Linked DNA regions of Neurospora crassa OR74A. Each later gene encodes a partner of the first gene's protein in a complex. Links are inferred from orthologs where the notes say so. Each region holds a gene or a part of one and is shown in the gene's direction. Other genes may lie near its edges.

Region 1 (9,382 bases):
GAAGGAACATGCTGTCAACAGTTCACCCTCGAAAAGTTTGTTAACATGGCACTTTCAAGATGGCTAGAGGTAGGCGCCAATCCTGCTTATTGCTCGCTATAAGTACAGTCAAATTTTGGTGCGAGACATATGTATGGGACACCATCAATTGTTGTTCATAACCTGACTCTAGCTCGGTTTGGACCAATAGAACCGCCTGAAAATCATGTCCTCTTTCTGCCTTGTCAGAAGACGTTGTAAGTTTCGCACTAACAAATCTCAAAGGTTGGTCTGTGTATAAAGACCTCACATGTTAACCGCCTGACTTTTGAGAACACCATCGCCCGAAAAGTCCTGATGTGCAAGTATTTAGGCAATGATGACGGCGACTTGAGACAGAGGAGACAAACCCCATTTGGAGTCTCGACAGGAAAGGCGGTCACGGTGTGCCCATCCATGTCTTAGGATGCATACTACCTACACTACACTGATGTGATGGGTTGCGGGTTAGGGATAAATAAGCTGGAAATTGTCCAAGCCGAAGAAGCTGGATTTCGTCCCAAGACTCGACTGGTTTCCTACCCGAATGACACAGTAGAGATTCGATACTTGTAGTGAATGAAGCTTCGGAAAATCATGACCGAAGCCAGGTTTGAGAATGCAGGGATGTAGGACTCATGGGGTGAGCCAAACAGCTGGTTTACGCAGTATAAACCGGAAAGAGTTGTAGATGACGAGGAGTTCGAATATCAAGAGACCCGTCAACTTTCCATCGGCTTCGTCCTCGGTTATCCTCGAGTGAAATCACTTTGAAGACTAGCTGCGCGCGCCAAAGGCATATCAGTATCCGTAGGCACATATCGCAGGATGAATGACAGCAAACGGGCGTCAGGTAAGTACTTGTTGCAGTGTTGACGGAGCATTGTGGATGTTGCGTTCGATCAAAGTCCCATGTCTCATGGACATTGCCAGCCAGATCAATGTACGACGGATCATCGCATCTCGCACGGCTCCCAAATCATGTAAAGAAAACCGAAAAATCAAGAAAACCAGAAAGAAACCGGAATGAGTGACCGGAAAAAAAATGGCTTGCTGAATATTCTAGATCATGACAAGGTGCTTCCTGCCCCTTTTGAAACTCGGCATCCCCTTAACTCCATGATATCCTAACCAATATGTACATGCACACCCTTATATAACACTACCATCAGAACACATATCGACAGTCAACCCGCTATCTTAAGCAGTGTACTGCTTCTGGAGAGTCTTGGCAATAGTGTTAAGCTGGATGTTGCTGGTACCCTCGTAAATGGCACCGATCTTGCTGTCACGGAAGAACTTTTCAGCAAGACCCTCACGGACGAAGCCCATGCCACCCATCCACTCGACAGCGAGACCGGAGACGCGGCCGGCAACCTGGGAAGCGTAGAGCTTGGCCATAGCGGCATCCATGACGAAATCCTCGCCGGCCTCCTTCTTGCGGGCGGCATTGTAGACGAGCGCGCGCGCGGCGGCGATCTCGGTGTAGGACTGGGCGATCTGGTGCTGCATGCCCTGGAACTCGCCGACGAGCTGGCCGAACTGCTTGCGGTCGTTCCACACGTACTTGACCGCGTTCTCCCACGCACCGAGCGCGAGACCGGTCATCTGGGCGCCGATACCGATGCGGCCCTCGTTGAGGATGCCAATGGCGTACTTGTAGCCCTCGCCGACCTTGCCGAGAATGTTCTCCTTGGGGACCTCGACGTCGTCAAAGTTGAGCACACACGTGCTGGAGGCCTTGATGCCGAGCTTCTTCTCCTTCTTGGCGATGCTGAAGCCCTTCATGCCCTTCTCGACGATGAAGGCGGTAATACCGCGGTAGCCCTTGCTGGGGTCGACATTGGCGAAGACAATAAAGAAGTCGGCCTCCATACTGTTGGTAATCCACATCTTGCTGCCGTTGATCTTGTAGCCGTTTTCGGTCTCGACGGCGCGTGTGGCGAGGGCGAAAGCATCAGAGCCGGAGACGGGCTCGGACAAGCAGAAGGAACCGACGGTGTTGGTAGCCAGCTTGGGGAGGTACTTCTTCTTGAGCGCCTCGCTACCCCAGCGAATGACGGCGGTATTGACAAGGGTGTTGTGGACGTCAACCATGACGGATACCGAGGGGTCGATGCGGGCGAGCTCCTCAATACAAACAATGGCGGCGGTGAAGTTCATGCCGGCACCGCCGTACTCCTCGGGAATCTCGACACCCATAATACCCTGCTCGAAAAGCTGCTCGACAATGGCGGGGTCCATAGCCTCGGCCTCATCCATATCGCGGACCTTGGGAAGAATGACATCGTTGGCGAACTTCTGGACAGTCTCAGCCATGGCGGTCTCAACCTCGGAGAAGTGGGTAATGGGGGTTGGCGGCAGATCGGTTATGTCCCGGCGAGGGGAGGTGGTGGAAAGAGTGCGAGCGCTATGTCGGGAAACCAAGTATTAGCACATCGCCTTCTCCCTCTTCCAGCCCATCTCTTTTGAGACCAGACCAGGCATGAGACGAGATGACAAAACTTACCATTGGACGACGGGAGTTCTGGAGAGTCTGGGAGCGGAAACTGCCTGAGCCCTGCGGACGGCGGGACGCAAAACCCTAGTGAACGACTTCATTGTGTCTGATGCGTATGTGTGATGATTAAAGAACCGATCGGAAACCTGGCGCGAGTGCTGTCTAGGAAGAACGAAGAGGACAGAGATAATGGAAGAAAAGAAGGCGGAAAGGGTATCAAATGCTTGGGGAAGGAGAACTGGAGGTGTGATGGAACGAGCTTCGGGTACTTATAAGTCGCTGGGCACGGTACAGCGGAGCTAACACTAACGACCAGATGAAAGATGTACTTATGTAGCTCCGTAACGATGATCCGTGGAGTATTGGATGGAAGGCAACAATGACAGCGTGGGCTCAAAATAAGGTGAAGAGAGTCCCGATTTCTCTTGACCTTTGCATCGTATGCATCTCCTACACCTTCGATGTGTCTAACCTGTCACTATGCATTTGATATACAGAACAGATCATTATCGCAGAAGCCCACGCGGTATTCGAGGAGATAGGTGCGTACACCTTGATAGCAGGATACCTACGGGCAACCGGGACAAGAGCTCTACTGTTAGCTCTCTCTATCCCTCTCTCTCTCAGTAATTCAAAAGCCAAGCCAGCGGGTAACAAAGGTCAATGGCATTGGCCGGCACACGGCCGATATGCTGTGAACAGCTGGGTCAAGTGTCTCCCCCTCTGCCGAGGTAAGGTCTCCACCATTCACAAAGCTCCGAATCGGGCGGTCCTCTTAAGAGGTCATTTTCCCCACAAAGATTTCCTTGGCCGGGGTAAACGGTGGCCACGACAGGGATGCATTTGGGGGAGACACGGTAGAGACGGGACATCGGAGGAGGGGCACTCTCTCTCGAATGGACCTTGATGATGGCCGGGCACGGGGCACGGCGAGCGGTGACCATTGTTGCTAGACCGTGGATCGTGACTCGTTAATCGCGAATAGCAAACCATGGATCGTGAGCGAGAAGGGAAAACAGAGCCAGACGAGCGATAGAAATGGAATGATGAGGTGCCAACGAACGAGTTTCAGAAAACGAAGGGGAATGGAAAACAAATGCCATGTGACTGTCAGTTTGTCGAAGGCTCACAGCTAACCGATGATTGCCGCACACGACTCGGAGCTTACCCAATGGCTTCCGTCCCTCAAGCACGGCAGTAGGTACGTACCTCTGCTACCTTCTTGGCTCAGCTTATCTCCACGTGTGTCATCCCGTGACACGAAAAAAGTTCCCACACTGGTACCGCCCGCCGCCGCCGGCCCTGCGTGCGCCTGCCGGGCCCGGCCTGGGGAACCGCTATCCTGTACTGTACCGCGTCCTGTTGCGCGCCGCGACCGACCGAACTTGACGATTTCGGAGCATCCCGCCATCAGCAAGATCCACAAGATCACAAGATGGCGACGACTTTCTTGCGGAACTTGTTTTCGCAGGCGCAGCCGTCGCTGCTACGACGGCCGCTGATGCCATCGTCCTCTTCCATCCTTCCTGCTGCTGCGCGGTTGTTCTCCAGCACTCCGGCGCAGAATGCCACTCTTAACCAGGTCATGAGGGTAAGTGATGATGATGAGGCTATCCCCAACCCGCCTACCTCTACCTACCTATGCACCTATCACCACTTTGGTTCCCGTGCTACTACCACAGCCCTATGTCCCGCGTCCAATTCAATCTGATCAAAAGCTAACCACTCTTATCTTCATTCCTCCAGGGTTGCCGTAAGCCCCAACGTGCTCGCCACGCCGTCTCCCCCGCCCTGTCCTCCATCAAGTCTCCCGCGCTCAAGGGTGTATGTGTCAAAGTCGGCATCACGCGTCCCAAGAAGCCCAATTCGGGCGAACGCAAGACTGCCCGTGTCCGTCTTTCCACGGGTAAGGTCATCACGGCCTATATCCCCGGCGAGGGCCACAACATTTCGCAGCACAGCGTCGTGCTCGTGCGTGGCGGCAGAGCCCAGGATTGCCCTGGTGTGAGGTATCATCTTGTTAGAGGTGCTTTGGATTTGGTAAGTTTTTTCCTGAGAAGAAAAATCCCTAGATGGAGACCCCTGGATGGAGGATGGGAGAGAAGGAGAAAAAGGGGAAGATGAGTGTTTAGTTTGTGAAAATGATGTGCTGACAAAGAATGGTGATAAAACAGGCCGGTGTTGCTACTCGTATGTCTAGTCGTAGCAAGTACGGTACCAAGAAGCCCAAGAAGGCCTCTGTTGGTTAAGCAGCTAGCACAACAGAGCACAATTGAGATGATACCCCCCCTGGTTACATGGCAGTAGGATGATGATGATGTGATGTGAGCGTGGTGGAGGTGGTTAAGCTTCATCCATGTAGTTCATCATTCCGCATCCTAAACTATGTGTCCGTGTACTATAAGGAAATAAAAGGTGCATGACAGGATATCGGCGTCCATATTCCTTGTATTACGACTGTCGAAGACTGGCCATGTTCAAGATGATACAACACCGAAGACGAAATACTTCGGGGAAGGACGGAGACACTGGACCAACTGTGTTGCTGTCAGCTTGCCTTTTCACACCTGGCAATACCAGGGTTATCTCAGCAGTCGGTAACAACGAACCTAACCCTAAGTGATTGTGTCATGATTTCCTTAACGCCCCTTATAGCCCTTCCCTATCCATCAAAACACTCAGAACAGGCAGCTTCGTTTTTGCCCAACCTTTCCCATTTATAGGTCCATGTTTCCAGGCAATTGGGTTGTACCACCAATTGAGAACGAAAAAGTCATTATAACGATAATACATTCTAGGGAATGTCCGCTTTTGGTTTTATTTGCAGACCTGTTTTCCCAACATAAAGCCTTAATCCCCACACCCTCAGAACTGTTTCTTCTTCGCCTCCTTCTAATCCGACTGATCTTGCCAGCCTTCTGGCTTCGGAAGACCATTAAGCTCGTAGTACCTCGAAGTGCCTGATAAGTGATTGGGGTCAGTGGACGGCTCAGTAAGAGAAGGGAACTTCCGGGTAAGACTTACAAGAATACCCCTTCCAGTCAAAGTTCTCCTTGGGGTTGCAGTGGCACTTGCGGTCGAGACGGAACTGCTCTCCGGTGGGGCAGTGAGTGAAGGGAACGTGGTAGTAGGCAATGTCGTTGAAGAAGTGGATTTCCTCCTTCTTCAACATCAAGCCGGCGGCAATAGAGTGGACCGGGGCATCGCCCCAGCGCTCATAGAAGAAACCACCATCCTGATCCAGAGACTCGAAGTAGTCGGTGTAGGCCTTGGAGCGAAGCCAGTTGAGGCTACCAATCTCAAAGTTGGACCACTATAATAACATTGTTAGACTAAACTTGTCGCAAGCTGTGAATCCTCACGGAAAATACTTACAAAGTGGCACTTGTTGTAGGTCTTGCCACCATCGTCACTGAGGAAAGCCATGGAGTTGCCCTCAGCAATGTGCTCGGGGTGGTTCTTGATGAACTTGGTAACGCTGTCCCAGAGGGTCGGGATAGTCTCGAAGTACTCGTAAAGGCTGAGCACGAAGCTGTACTTCTTGTTATTCTCGTGCATGAAGCGGAAAGGATCGTAGTGGATGTCGCAGTGGAACTCGACGCTCGGCTCAACGCGCCAGTAGTAGTCGTAGTTCATCATGAGGGGCTGGCGGAAGAAGAAGCCGGACTCAAAGCGGCACATGTGGCGGTAGCTGATACTGTCACCGTAAATGATCTTGCGCTGTCTCATGTCCTCGCGAACCTTTTTGGCCTTCTCCTGGTCAATGTGAGGCGGGAACGACCAGTGCTCGGTCGGAATCTCGCCATAGTACGTCTTGCCGGACACAAGCGAGGAGGTAACCTTCTTGAAGGTTTCGTCAAATGGCTTGTCGTTGAGGAAGACCCAGTCGTAGTTGTAGCGGCGGTTGAAGCGGTCCTCGACCGAGCGGATCGACTTTGCAATTTCCCACACATCGCCGTTGCGAGCCAAGGTGACAAAGGTCGCGTTCATGCGAGGGCCGCCCTTAACCCCAGACAAGTCGTTCCAGCCCGGGTCATTCGGAGTCATGGCCAACGGGTACTGGGCAGGATCGTAGTCGGCGCCATTGCTCTTAGCGGGTGTCTTTTCATCGTGGGCGACTTCGGTGGTGCCTCCGGTGGTACTTCCGGCAGTGCTTCCGGTAGTACTTCCAGTCGATGGCTTCGAGTTTCCGGTGGATTGTTGGAATTTGCCAAAGTTATCTTTTAGGGGGGTCACGACGGATGACGGCGTAGAGATGAAGTAAAGAACGGCGATAACCTAACGTCATGGTTAGTGGGGTACCGGGAAAGCGAACAGCTACTATTGAGTGCAGAGCATTGAGCCAAGAAGTGTACCAGAGATGATCAGACTTACAAAAAAGGCAAGGAGGATGTAGCGCACGTAGCGTGCGCTGCCCGCCGCCATGTTGAAGGAATACGGACTGAATCGAGCCTAAAGTCAAAGTTTGTCGAGTGCAGTGGTGATTGTGTTTCCGAAAATGTTCGTGTTCACGGGTCCTGTGGGACAGGATGGACAATGGCTGAAGGCGAGCCACGGAAGGAAGCGACCCGGATCCCTCGTGAATCGCTGCTGCACGACAAGTCTTGAGATGTCCGGATCCCGGGGAGATGTCCGAGATGGAACTGCAGATGGCGAACACGGCCTCGGTGGTTGAAAGAGATAATTCAACCAGGAGAGAAGATGGCCAGGCTTGGATCCTGAAAAAGAAGTGAAGTTGAAAGAGGAAGAAGTTCCCTTGGAGGCGGGACGGGAGCCAAGTGTTGTTAGCTGTCAGGGTTCGAAGGCTCGGGCGCAGTCCTGCTAGGGCAGCCCACTGCAGCTTCGTATTGCCTGGTATTGTATGGATATAATGCGGAGGTTTGCTAGGCACATTAATTGGCACGTAGAGGTACAGAGGGGTGCCACGTCCGCGTATGCAAAGGGGTACCCGGGCCGTTGGTTGAGAAGAGTCTGGCACTTTTCTAGACTGTAAATACCCCTGGATACTTTGTTCTGATACTTGGGGACTTGGATATTAGAGGAATGTCTAGCATGGAGATGCTGGTATCTCAAGTGCTGTTCATGTTTCGGCCTCTTTAGAGGTAGTTAGGTGCGAACTAGCCTGTAATGAAAACATCCCAAAAGTGTCGGTATCTACCTACAACATCCTCAGCAACGTCCGCAAGTGGCCTAAATAATATCTACATACCTACCAGAAGCTATCGCATTCCCCGTTCCTGATGGTCGCTTGCGGTGCATTCCCCTGAGCACCTCAATGTTTCCGTCCGGCCAGGACCAAAAGATTGGCCGCGGGGGTAGGCGGCAGGGAAAGACATTAGGGTGCCCTCGGTGCCCCCACAGCTTCGTCGTCACCTGTATCCGCAGGTACCCCATTATTGCGGGCCGTGACGGTTCTAGCGTGGCCCTGTTAGTAAGGGACAAAAACCCCCTTGAGACGGGCGTCGTCAACTTCCAGGGGCACTACCTACCTCTACGACGACTTCAGTTCACATGTCGCATCCGTCAACGGAGGGGTATGTCTTGAGCTTCTTGATCCTTTTACCACGCTGAGAAGTGGCTGATTAGCTCATACTATGATACTTGGGTTAATATGATCTGCTGCCGGCCTGCTCCCTCCGCATTGCTCCTCCGATCGGAGTAGTTCTTCAAGATGGCGAAGAACACCGACTTGAGTGATGGCCATGATACCTCCCTCTCAAAAGAAACAACAGGGAAATACCAGGCCCCTGATATAATTCAAGTTCGACTGCATACTATGTACAGTAAAGTCACCTGTCAAGAAAACAGCCTTAAGATAGCCATGCCATGTTTGCCTCTGTCCATGTCCGCGCTTCCGCTTCACCTGCATCGGAATGGCGAATTCACATACTTAGAAGCACAGTCTAAACAGCTGCGTTTAGTCACGGATGTCACGGCAGCAAAATGGATGCCTGAGCTACTGTCCTTGCCCTTCAGCTTTCTTGCCAAAATCGATATCTCGAGCTTGAAATTTGGTTGTCGGCTTGGCGTTAAATGTTGACCATGAGGTTGCCGTCCCGTCCGGGTCTCATGTTGTAGCCTCCAGTTGATCACTGTTACGCATCACAACTAGCGGGCGGGTATCGCCGATTGGCTCATCGGATAAAACAACTTGCAAGACTGGAAGGATGGAATGGACATTCTTGCCGGCGGTTGAGGATCCCACAGCCCGGCAGGCAATGGGCCTCTGGTTGCCGCCCAACCGTGGCAATCACTCCCCCGGCCGCGGCCTTGGAAGTCCCATCGTCAGTCAACGAACGGCAAGACAGGAGGGTGGTGTGTCAAAGCGTCAGGCCTACCGCCGCCCGCCCACCTGTTGCCAGGCTCCATTGGCCCTCGGGGGCGATTGGTCCACAGCTCCCTGATCTGGCTTCTGAGTTGGAGTTGGCCTGACTTCATCCATCTGCGTCGGTCTCTTGTCGCCTTTTGCGCTGCCATCAAGCTACCACTCCGAGCAACCGCATCCACATCTTCACCGCGGCGCACCCAGTTGCGCTTCCGGTCGTTAGTTCACAGCCTTCTTTGCTTCTCTGTTTTAATATTTCCAAGCCGAGCGCTGAGTATTTGTTGCCGCCCTGACAAGCTCTGCTCCGCTCCTTTGCACGAGTCGCACCGCCGTCGACACGTCTCCTTTCCCTTCACGTCGCGCATCGCAGCATCATGGTGCTTGACCAAACCGATCATACCAACATCTTTACATATCGTTCTGTACGTTGTTCTTTGATTTCTCTACAGCGTGCTTGCAACCTCGGTATGGCAAGGTCATGGGATGAAAGTTGGGCTCCCATGTCCCAATTCTCCATCTTCCATGTCGTTGTTGTTGCC
Region 2 (9,512 bases), on another chromosome or scaffold:
CAGTGAATGTGTGAATTGATTGCTTCCCTTGATCTGGAGTTCTCTTTGATGGTTTTCCGTAAAATGCCCAAGGCACACCTTGGTGGTTTTAAGAAAGACAGCCAAGATGGAACCCTTGTCACTTCTATTTCCTGCGATGATTCTTCCCCTTTGGAAATAAAATAAAATAAAACAAAGATCAAATGAATGGCGTCGAAGGAGTGATGAGAAATGAGGTGATCAAGGTGTGACCTTGTGACGTCTCGAAAAAGAGGAGTTGAGCTTTAAACAGTTTTTGGAGTAACACCTGGGTAAGGCGAAAGTGAGGTGCGTTTTGAGGGGTCCACTGGATCGTTTGGGTAGGTGACTGTTCCGGACTCCCGATCTATTCCGTACAATCAAAGCGGAGTCCGTCGAACGTCACGTCACAAAATGTCAGTTCTTGGGTTGTCGATCTGAAAGATAGGAGATAGATAGGTGGATCAGCAAGTAGCTATGTGAAACAAAGTAGGCTCGGTCGGACTGATAGAGACGCGAGTCCAGTCACCGAGGACGCGAGATGGAAAGGGAACTCTATGGGTAGGTGGGGGAGTATCGTCAAAGTATACAAGATAGGAGATTGTGGAAGTGGAAAGGATGGATGAGTCAACGAAGAGAGCAAGGACCAGAAGGGCCAGGATACATGGAGCTATTAAAGAAATTTGGGATGGATAAGCGAAGGTTCAGAAAAACAAAAGAGGGAAAAAAGACATGGGGATATCGAAAACAAGTGGAAGTTCGTTCGTCAAAGTGATGAATGTAAGAGGAGTGAGCGCTTCTCCAGTTCACACTTCCTTCTTCAGTTCTCCATCTGCTGAGTACAGTATCTACTTGCTCTCTTTGTGACATTGTAAAGCTTGGCGGGACAGAGGATGAAGGGGACCCGACCCGAGATCGGGGGGAAGCGTCTGGGTCCGGGAGAAGAACTGATAAGGTAGAGGTACCTTACCTGCCCGTGATTGTGCTATAACCTAAGCCGGGGCCCTGGCCATCGTGTTGGAGAACCTCTTTCGAACCCCACGGTGGTAGAACCTAAAGACGAAGTCCGCCGGCATATAGTACTGATGCCTGCATGCGATGCAGTATTTAGTGCTATGGCGATCGATGCAAGTCCTCGATTCAAATATTTGGATAGATCACCAGGCTGCATACCCAGGGGTTGACGATAGGTGTAGTGTACCTCTATGTTAGTGTACGCATGGAGTAGAACCTTAGGTCCAGTGCAGGTGGTGGGGTAGGCGATGTGAAGAACAACAGTCCGGACACGCTTCCGTTATAGGTATCGAACCAGACCCAGTAAGGGTCCGAGAGCTTTCTATCACATGAGATCGCCTGTGGGGGTATCTATCGGTCGGTCAGGCGCCTTGCATAGGTAGCTACGTATGTGTGATAGAACTCGACAAAACATAAAAAGAAAATGTCAGAAGAAAAAAAAGGAGTGGAGGAAACCCGGTGAACAATGTCTTTCTAGTGTATCAGAACCAGGGGGGGCAGGTGTCTTCGGCACATCACTTCAAGTTATCCACCTCCATGCTCGCGCACCTGCAGGTAACCGCGGGCGCTTGTCATGTCAAGCACCTCGGGTGCATCTAGCGTTCTCGAAATACTGCAACCGATTCCCATCATCTCTGTCTCACTTTGCCTTCTTGATGATGGATGTTGATTCCAGCGTACAGATTGCGGTCTTTGCCGGACTGCACTAAGATTCAAGATCACTCCGATTCGAATCATTGCCAAGCACATCATGAGTGGAAGATGTCGTTAGGAGAGGTGTCTACTTCTTTCTGTTTTGCATCTCCAGCTCCACCACTCTGGGCAAACGCCAGTAAGACAGATGGGTTACAACGCATACCTCCCAATGTACCTACAATGCCGGCACTAAGCAATGTAGTGTACTATACATGTAAAGCAAAGTCAAAGGACGAAACGCAGGTACCTCACCTCTGCTTGCGCCCTCGAGGTTGCCTGCCTGTCAGCCATGGGTTCTTTCACAGCCTTTCAGTTTCACCTCATTGCTGGTGACCTGGCGCCACCGCAACAACAATTAACTCTCGCAAAAGAGTTATTGGTTCTTCTCTTTGGGCAGCAGAAAGTGTGGGGGAAGCCTCTCTTGTGGAGTGGCGCAAAAAAAGACAGATCAAATCCCGAGAAGTGAACCCCCCCTCTCCTTCTTTCCCCTCTATTCCTTTCTAGTAGTCAGCCTGGATTGGATCACTATAGCCAGGAGGAAGCACATGTCGACCATCTTCGGAAACAGCCAACTTCTCGAGCCTTCGCCAGCCTTCACCTGATAGTATCCCTTCCAGTTACACACCGGTCATGTCGAGAAAACGCGGCACGTCAGAAGCCACACCGAGAACTTGAACTTGCCTTTGTACAACAAGAGACAAGAGATAACGCAGAAAAGAACGCCTCTGTTTCAAAGCTTTGTTCGTTCCCGCATGATTGGTCAAAAAGGTTCAATTGTATGTTCCGGTTTGATCTGCTTCTGCTTGACAGGTCGCGGTACCCGAGCTTGTGCCACCTGGAAGAGAAGGTTTAGACACCGATCATCGGACCGAGTTCTGGCTTTCACTTTGTCTGGTGACAGCGTCTGTCCGGAAGCAAATTATCAAACACCATGCAAGTGACTAGGGGATCCGGCATACCAAAGACCATGCTTGATGATCATCGGAATGTCGAGTCTTCTTATTCGGCTCAACATGCAACGGCAAACTGCAAGAAGGCTAAGAGCTCTCCGATCTAGGGGTAATGCTGCTGCAGCGTGGGACAGATCGCTTCAACCTATTGCGACATGCTGAATGGCAGTTCCCCATCGAAGAAGGATGCGACCATTAGCCGAACCGAAGGCGTGCAGAAATTCGGAACGACAGTCCTGCAACTCTCTCCATTTGCGGAATAAAACCCCCGGGATAGGTAGACATAGGGTATAACCTGGACGGACACAAAAATAGATATATCAGGTCAACAAGTCAAATGTCTTACAACATCCCGCACAACCCCAGGGGTACAATATCCGAGAGATTGCTGTATAGGTAGGTATGCGTGAAAGACAAAGGTGGCTGGGGAAGAGGAGACAACTCATCCGACATCGTTTTATTTTCCTACACGTCTTCTTATTTCTTGATACCCACAACGACGAGATTTCGAGGGCTCTGGCCATAGTCAAATACTGTCTCCACCCAGCAGTCGCGAACAATATCGGAATGTTCCTTGAGGAACAGGTACCGGTCAGTCACGATAAGGGACTCAACAACGCACGCGCTAAAGGCCATCAGGCTCCAGACTGCGCTGAGCTCCCGCTTTCGGGGCAGGTACGCGGCCTCGTACTTGGCAATCTCCTCGTCGGTGATGTCACTTAGCTTCTCGCGTACAATCTGGCTGTACTGGCTAAAGTCCGAGTTGGTCGTTAGCTTCGTGATCGCTCCGCGGACGTAGGCGCTGAACGAGGTGTAGCATTGCTTCCTGAGTGAGCCGATCACGACGGGGTTGGTGCTGAAGTTGAACGGGCTCTCGTTGCCATCCTCGCCCTCGCCCTCGCCCTCGCTTGGCCCGTGGTAGACCTTGGAAATGACCCCCTTGTCGAGGAATATCCTTTGCAAGACGGCGCGGTAAAAGTGGCGGGTGAAGAAGGCATCGCTCTCCTTGTCGGTCCAGTTCCCGGGTGCTTGGCACGCCATCATACGCGCTGTAATGTTGAGTCGGATGCCTTGGTCATTGTAGGTGGAGAGTTTCTCACTCATGGGGAAACCCTGGGGATCTCGTCTCTCGGACTCCCTAACAACACGAGCATTCAATGGCTGAAGGGTTGGCCGACTGAAGCAAGGCTTGAAAGTCGGAGGACCCAGTTTTTCGGTGAGAAGGTTGTAGCAGCAACCCACGATTGCAACGGCGTGGATAGACGAGTTGAGGACCATGGACCGGATGCCGTAGTGAGAGAGGTTGCCACATGAGTGGATGGACACAGCCATCATGCTGAGATCATCCTCGCTGTGAGTTTCCGTGTACTCCAGCTGGGAGATCACAGGGGCCAAGTCGGCATCTCCCAACTTGGCAACGACGTACTCAATGCTGCCCTTTCCTTCCTCCCGCGCATAAGTGGCCTGAAGCTCCTTTCTCGATCGGAGATCAATGGTAGCAATATCTTCGTCTGTCACACCCAGTGCCTTTGCGGCGCGCTTCAGTGCCTCTTCATCGTTGGCTTCTGACGGATCTACACTTTCCATAATGCGGTGGTAGAGCTTCTTGTTGCGGATTCTCTTCTCCCGCTCAGCTAGACCGGACAAGATATCGAGATCCTTAGCGCCTGCTGTGTTGGCCTCCTTGCTCTCCACGGCAACAATATGCTTGTTGTACGGAGGACTCGCCAGAGCGCGGCCTAGATAATTCTGGCCACTGCCAAAGTCTACCAAGTGCGTCAGTTCCTGTCCCCTCACCCGAGCGACGTCCTCCGAGAGCCTGTCGATGTATCCGGAAAAGTGAGTGACTTCGTGAACTTTCTTGGTGTTCATTCCCAAAGCTACCTGCCGAGGAAGCACCGGTAGTTTTGGCTTGCTGGGCTGGAAGGAGCGTCGTAAAGAAAGTTTCCTGATATCCTTGACATATTGAACCAGCGTCTCGGGAGGCTGTCCCGGGCCAGTTTGCGCGGCAAGTGTGTCAAGATCATCTCTCATCAAGAAATCCAAAAGGACCATGGGCTCGGTCTGCACCAGGTACTCCTGCCATTCCTTGGGAACGGCAGAGACAAATAGGCCGGGCTCGCTGGTGAAGAAGTCAAGAATGTGGACACCACCACAGAGAAACTGGAAAAGGTGGGAATTGGTCGCAAAGTCCAGCAGACTGTCGACATATTGGTCTGCAGATGAAAAATCATCCGAGTATGGAAGAGGCTTTTCTGGCCTCGCAGTAAAGTCGATCGTCATGATGTGTATGGTGAGTGGTTGTTCATCTGCATTTTTGGCACATCGCCATGAAATTTTGGCTTTCTTTTCGCAAGACTCATACGGTAAAGTGTATGCATGAGGTACAATCGCATGTGTATAACCTTTATGGCGACAGCTGGCGGAGCATGGGATGCCAGCTGTCCCGCACCCCAAATGCTCCGCTGCGGATTTGCACCGGCCAATGCGGGCTCCCCCACGATCCGCCGCCTGCCCGGCAAGTCTGCACGCCCGGTTCCAAATCGCGGGTTGCGGGTTGCTGAGAGCTGAGAGTCGAGACTCCTCCGCGATTCCTGAACCGAGTTATGCCCATTGCGACAAGGTGACTTATCGTCGGCTAACAAGATGGTACCTACAACGGCCTCTGCGATTTCCGGGAATATTTGTCCAAAAGTTCTAACATTTTATTGCTAGGTGTTCATCCTGGGAGTCAACTTCAATGAGCACAAGCTCGTCCAGGTGCGCTCTCCTCCTCGTCCTCGTCCTCGTCCTCCTCTGCGCTCCAAGAATCACCCTGGTTAACCTTCCACTTGCGAACCACAGAAAGCTCTCGAGAGCTTCTACGGCCTAGGCCAGCAGGCCTCTGCCCGCATTCTCGCAAAGTATTCGATCCACCCGCGCGCGAAGATGGGCACCCTCCCGCCCAAGATCGTCACTGCCCTGACGGCCGAACTGTCGACCATGACAATCGAGAACGACGCCAGGAGGCTGGTGCTGGACAACATCAAGCGCCTCCGTGATATGGGTACCTACCGCGGTCGTCGCCATGCCATGGGTCTGCCCGTGCGCGGTCAGCAGACGAGGAACCAGATCGCCAACGCCAGGAAGCTCAACAAGATCGAGCGCCACGGTTGAGCGAGTCGATGACGGTAATGGTGACGGGAACCTTGGAGAATACCATGACGTCTGGATATTTCTGGAGCAATTCTGCTACGCGACATTTGCTTCGATAGCTGTCGGACCATGGGATCGAACGCATGGACAGAGAAGAAAGAGATGTGCCTGACGTGGCTCGGCTGGGTGTTGTCGAGCTTTTAGAGCAGGCAGGCAGGCAAAATCAGTGTACGATACGTCAAGCCAGAACGAAGACACGCTGGGACGCAAAAGGAATCAGGCGCGGCGTTGTAGAGCAATTCATCGGATCAAGTCAAAACACGGGCAACTTTTTGCTTATTGACTCGAATCACGACAGACATTTATGATACCCAATTCCCGAGTCTATATGCTAGCCAGATCTTGTGTCTTTATATAAGCAGCTTGCCATCTGCAGGCTCATCTTGGAGCTATCTACGCTGCCACAAAACTTTGCGGAAACACGGTAATTTTCTCTACGTGCCGCCCATTCAGATGTCTACTCCTCGGGCATCAAGTTAGGCAGATCATCCTCCAGAGCCGACTCACCAGCAGCTTGCATCGTAGCCGCCACGAGCTCAACATCCCTCCACACGCGGAGTATGTTACCGCCCACGACCTTGCTCACATCCTCATCACTAACACCCCGTCGAAGCAGCTCGGCCACCAAGTCCGGGTAGCGCGAGACATCTTCCAGTCCCTTCGGGACGACTGGAATCCCATCAAAGTCACTACCCAGACCGACATGATCATATCCAATCAGCTCGCCAATATGAATGATATGGTCAGCCACATGCTCCAGAGTCGCATTGGCCGGGTAAAAATCCGGCAGCCCATCGTCCCTGTCCGGCGCCGCCACGCACGAGATAAAGTCGGGTGAGAAGTTGACCATAACCAGCGAGTTGCGCTCCTTGACCAGACGAAGGACGTCATCCGGCACGTTGCGCGGGTGGGGGCACAGCGCGTAGGCGCTCGAGTGGCTGAAGATGACAGGGGCCCTGCTGCCATTCCAGTCCTTGCCCGAGCCACCCAAAACATCCTTCATCGTGTCGACGCTGGTGTGGGCCAGATCCACGATCATGCCGATGCGGTTCATCTCGTTGACTAGGGCTTCGCCGGCCGGGCTGACGCCGCCCCAGTGGGACGGGGCCTTGCGGAATGGGTTCTCCTGCAGGGCGGCGTCGGCGTACTTGTTGCCGCAGTTGTGGACCAAGGTCGCGTAGCGGACGCCCAGGGCGTGGTAGCGCCGCAGCGTGGCGGCCGAGTTGCCGATCTGGTGCAGGCCCTCGATGCCCATGGGCGAGATGAGCTGGTTGTGGTGCTTCCAGGCCTTGTAGGCGGCTTTGCTGGAGACTGCCGGCCCGAGGTCCTTGGGATAGGCGGCTTTGAGGCGGTCGACTAGGTCGATCTGTTGGAGGGTAGCCTGGACGGCTGTGTGGTTGGAAAGGGATAATGTCAGACTCTTTTTCTCTTGACGTGCTATGCAGTAAGGCTGCGTGAAAGGTTGAACCCACCGGGCAGATAGTTTTCATCAGAAAAGTCGGAGCCGTTGGCAGGGCAAGGCCAGAACAAGCTCCAGAAGGCCCCTCCGTTCATACCAGCTCTCAGGCGTGCAAGGTCGACATGACCGGGGAGCGTGCCGTCTTCCCAGCCGGTGGTAAAGTTCTTGTCATTGATGTGGTTCTTGAAAGCGGCTCGCAGCAGGATTGGCAAATCATTGTGTCCATCTATACTCTATGTCAGTATTTGGTGAATAATTATTGATTTGTGGTCGTACCGATCAATGGAGTGTGTGACAGGATACGCTTCACGCGTTTTTCAATGCTCTTCTCCCTCGGGTAGCTGGGCAGGCAACCCGACATGCCATAGCTGGCGGGTCGGACGAGAAGGTGAAGCAATAAAAGAGAGATGATCACGGCGGCCCAGAACTTGCGGCCGAATCCTCGCCGTTGACGGCGCGTGTTGGGGGCGGATAAACGCTCAACATCATCCCCGACATCGCGGGTCTTTTCTTCCTTCATCTTCTCAGGGACGACTGTTTCACCAACGTTATGGCCGAAAAAGCGATGAATGAGGGAAAAGGGAAAAGAGATGCGTAAGTAGAAACAGGGGAGCGTGTTTACGGTGTTGTCGTTGAAGGATTAGAAATCGCCTAAAGCTTAGCGGGGTTACTTCATCTTAGTTGATAGTCCGCGGCGTTGTCATGTCATTGATGATGCGACCTGGAAATGCATACACTTCTTGAGTTAGATGCAAAAGAAGCGTGTATACTTAGTGTAGACCTACCGGTGCGTCTCAAGCGACTACATCTAGAATCCGAGTCAAGGCACGAATAGGTAATGTCGAAAGGAGTCATGAACAGTTACTCCAACTGAGATCTACACGTCTACTGAGTGGTTCGTAGAGTGGGTATCTTGGCGTATATGTATAAAGTGCAGCATCCATAACTGACGGGACCACAGCCTTTGGGCCGTGCCAGTTCCTTCATCTCCCATCAAAGTACATGACGAGCCCGAAGCACAATACTACTCAAATGTTCATATTCTGTTGTATCTCATCGGCGACCTTAACTCTGCTGGCGGCGAAGCTGCCCGATGGTGATGCTTTGCTACACTTTGTGGTCTGGACATCCAACGAGAGAGCGGTCTTGGCATGGACATCCGAGGAGGGACAGTGGGGTTCACAGCCCAAGTCTCAGTCATTCAGTTCAGCACTAATCCGCAGACCATTCACCTTCAAGTAGTGTAGAAGTGTAAAACTACGTTTCCAGAAAGAAACAGACACGGGAACTTGAGTTTGATAGGCTCCATCCCGTCTCAAGACCCCTCGACCCCTACACGAGGAGGTTGAGGTTACCTATTTTAGGGCGTACTTGTACCTCACGTGTGGATCCTTCTGACGCTGCCCCTCCTCCAATGAAACTTGGAACTGAATGAGTGAGACTTGGCTGCCCGATGACAGCCAACCCACCATGACACTTCTCGGTGGACACCGTCCCTGCACCTCCACCACTTCCACTCGGCCTGCCCGTACCTACCTTACCAGACTTACCTACCTGCAAGCGCACCACATCCTGCCGTCCACCTCTTCTAGTGTAGGTAAAGGAAGTGCACCCATCTGCGTGCTGTACTTGAAGAAGTTTGAGTGTGTGTTGCCCCTGTTTCACGAATGCCCGTTCGTCCCTTGTGCTCACTGACTGCTATTTCTGACTGCGACATCGACAACGACTGGACTTTTGCCTTGTGTCTTTCCAATTTGGCTGCCGGTGCTTCTCCTTCCCCTCCCCTGAAGCCCCCCCCCCAGCGTTTCTTCAACTTCACTTCTTTTTACTTTGACACTTTAGCAGGCCACTGCATTTTGCTCTTGTTGTTCCTTCCTAGTTCCGTCGGCGATCACCGCCAACTTCATGCTCATCACCCAGGTACCTAGTCGACTATCCAGGTAGTGATTTGGTCCCATATCCGGATAGTTGGATCCCACGACAAGGAGACCGGCATTGAGCTCCGTTGAAAGAGACCCCCGCTGCTATCACGGTGCCTGCGTCGTCTCCATCCCCAGGCCACTCGGCGGCGCTGCGCCCCCCCTTTAATCCCAGACCCGCCAGACTTACCCACCTTCCCGCCGCCTAGTTCAACTGGCTCTTCGAGAAACGACACTGACGGGATCAACCACCCCGGACCCCGACTTGGACTACCCTGACGG

The links. Proteins that work in one complex are often made in the same cells at the same time.
Region 2: NCU06542 (region 1) and NCU09539 share a complex: the UniProt entries of both Schizosaccharomyces pombe proteins name them as parts of the mitochondrial small ribosomal subunit. The link is inferred for Neurospora crassa OR74A from reciprocal best matches to the Schizosaccharomyces pombe genes mrps12 and sws2.

What each region holds. Positions count from the first base shown.
Region 1 is NC_026504.1:1,580,425-1,589,806, reverse strand, and holds NCU06542 (putative mitochondrial 37S ribosomal protein MRPS12), read left to right. Parts: upstream 1-3,810; 5' UTR 3,811-3,953; coding exon 3,954-4,109; intron 4,110-4,264; coding exon 4,265-4,558; intron 4,559-4,692; coding exon 4,693-4,767; 3' UTR 4,768-4,948; downstream 4,949-9,382. Other genes in the region: NCU06543 (acyl-CoA dehydrogenase), read right to left, coding at 1,219-2,428, 2,528-2,619; NCU06541 (alpha-1,2 mannosyltransferase KTR1), read right to left, coding at 5,411-5,478, 5,543-5,831, 5,894-6,796, 6,893-6,943. UniProt on the Schizosaccharomyces pombe protein: Component of the mitochondrial ribosome (mitoribosome), a dedicated translation machinery responsible for the synthesis of mitochondrial genome-encoded proteins, including at least some of the essential transmembrane subunits of the mitochondrial respiratory chain.
Region 2 is NC_026505.1:4,523,379-4,532,890, reverse strand, and holds NCU09539 (putative mitochondrial 37S ribosomal protein SWS2), read left to right. Parts: upstream 1-5,144; 5' UTR 5,145-5,303; coding exon 5,304-5,306; intron 5,307-5,372; coding exon 5,373-5,417; intron 5,418-5,501; coding exon 5,502-5,813; 3' UTR 5,814-6,277; downstream 6,278-9,512. Other genes in the region: NCU09540 (hypothetical protein), read right to left, coding at 3,135-4,940; NCU09538 (microsomal dipeptidase), read right to left, coding at 6,310-7,241, 7,325-7,537, 7,588-7,831. UniProt on the Schizosaccharomyces pombe protein: Component of the mitochondrial ribosome (mitoribosome), a dedicated translation machinery responsible for the synthesis of mitochondrial genome-encoded proteins, including at least some of the essential transmembrane subunits of the mitochondrial respiratory chain.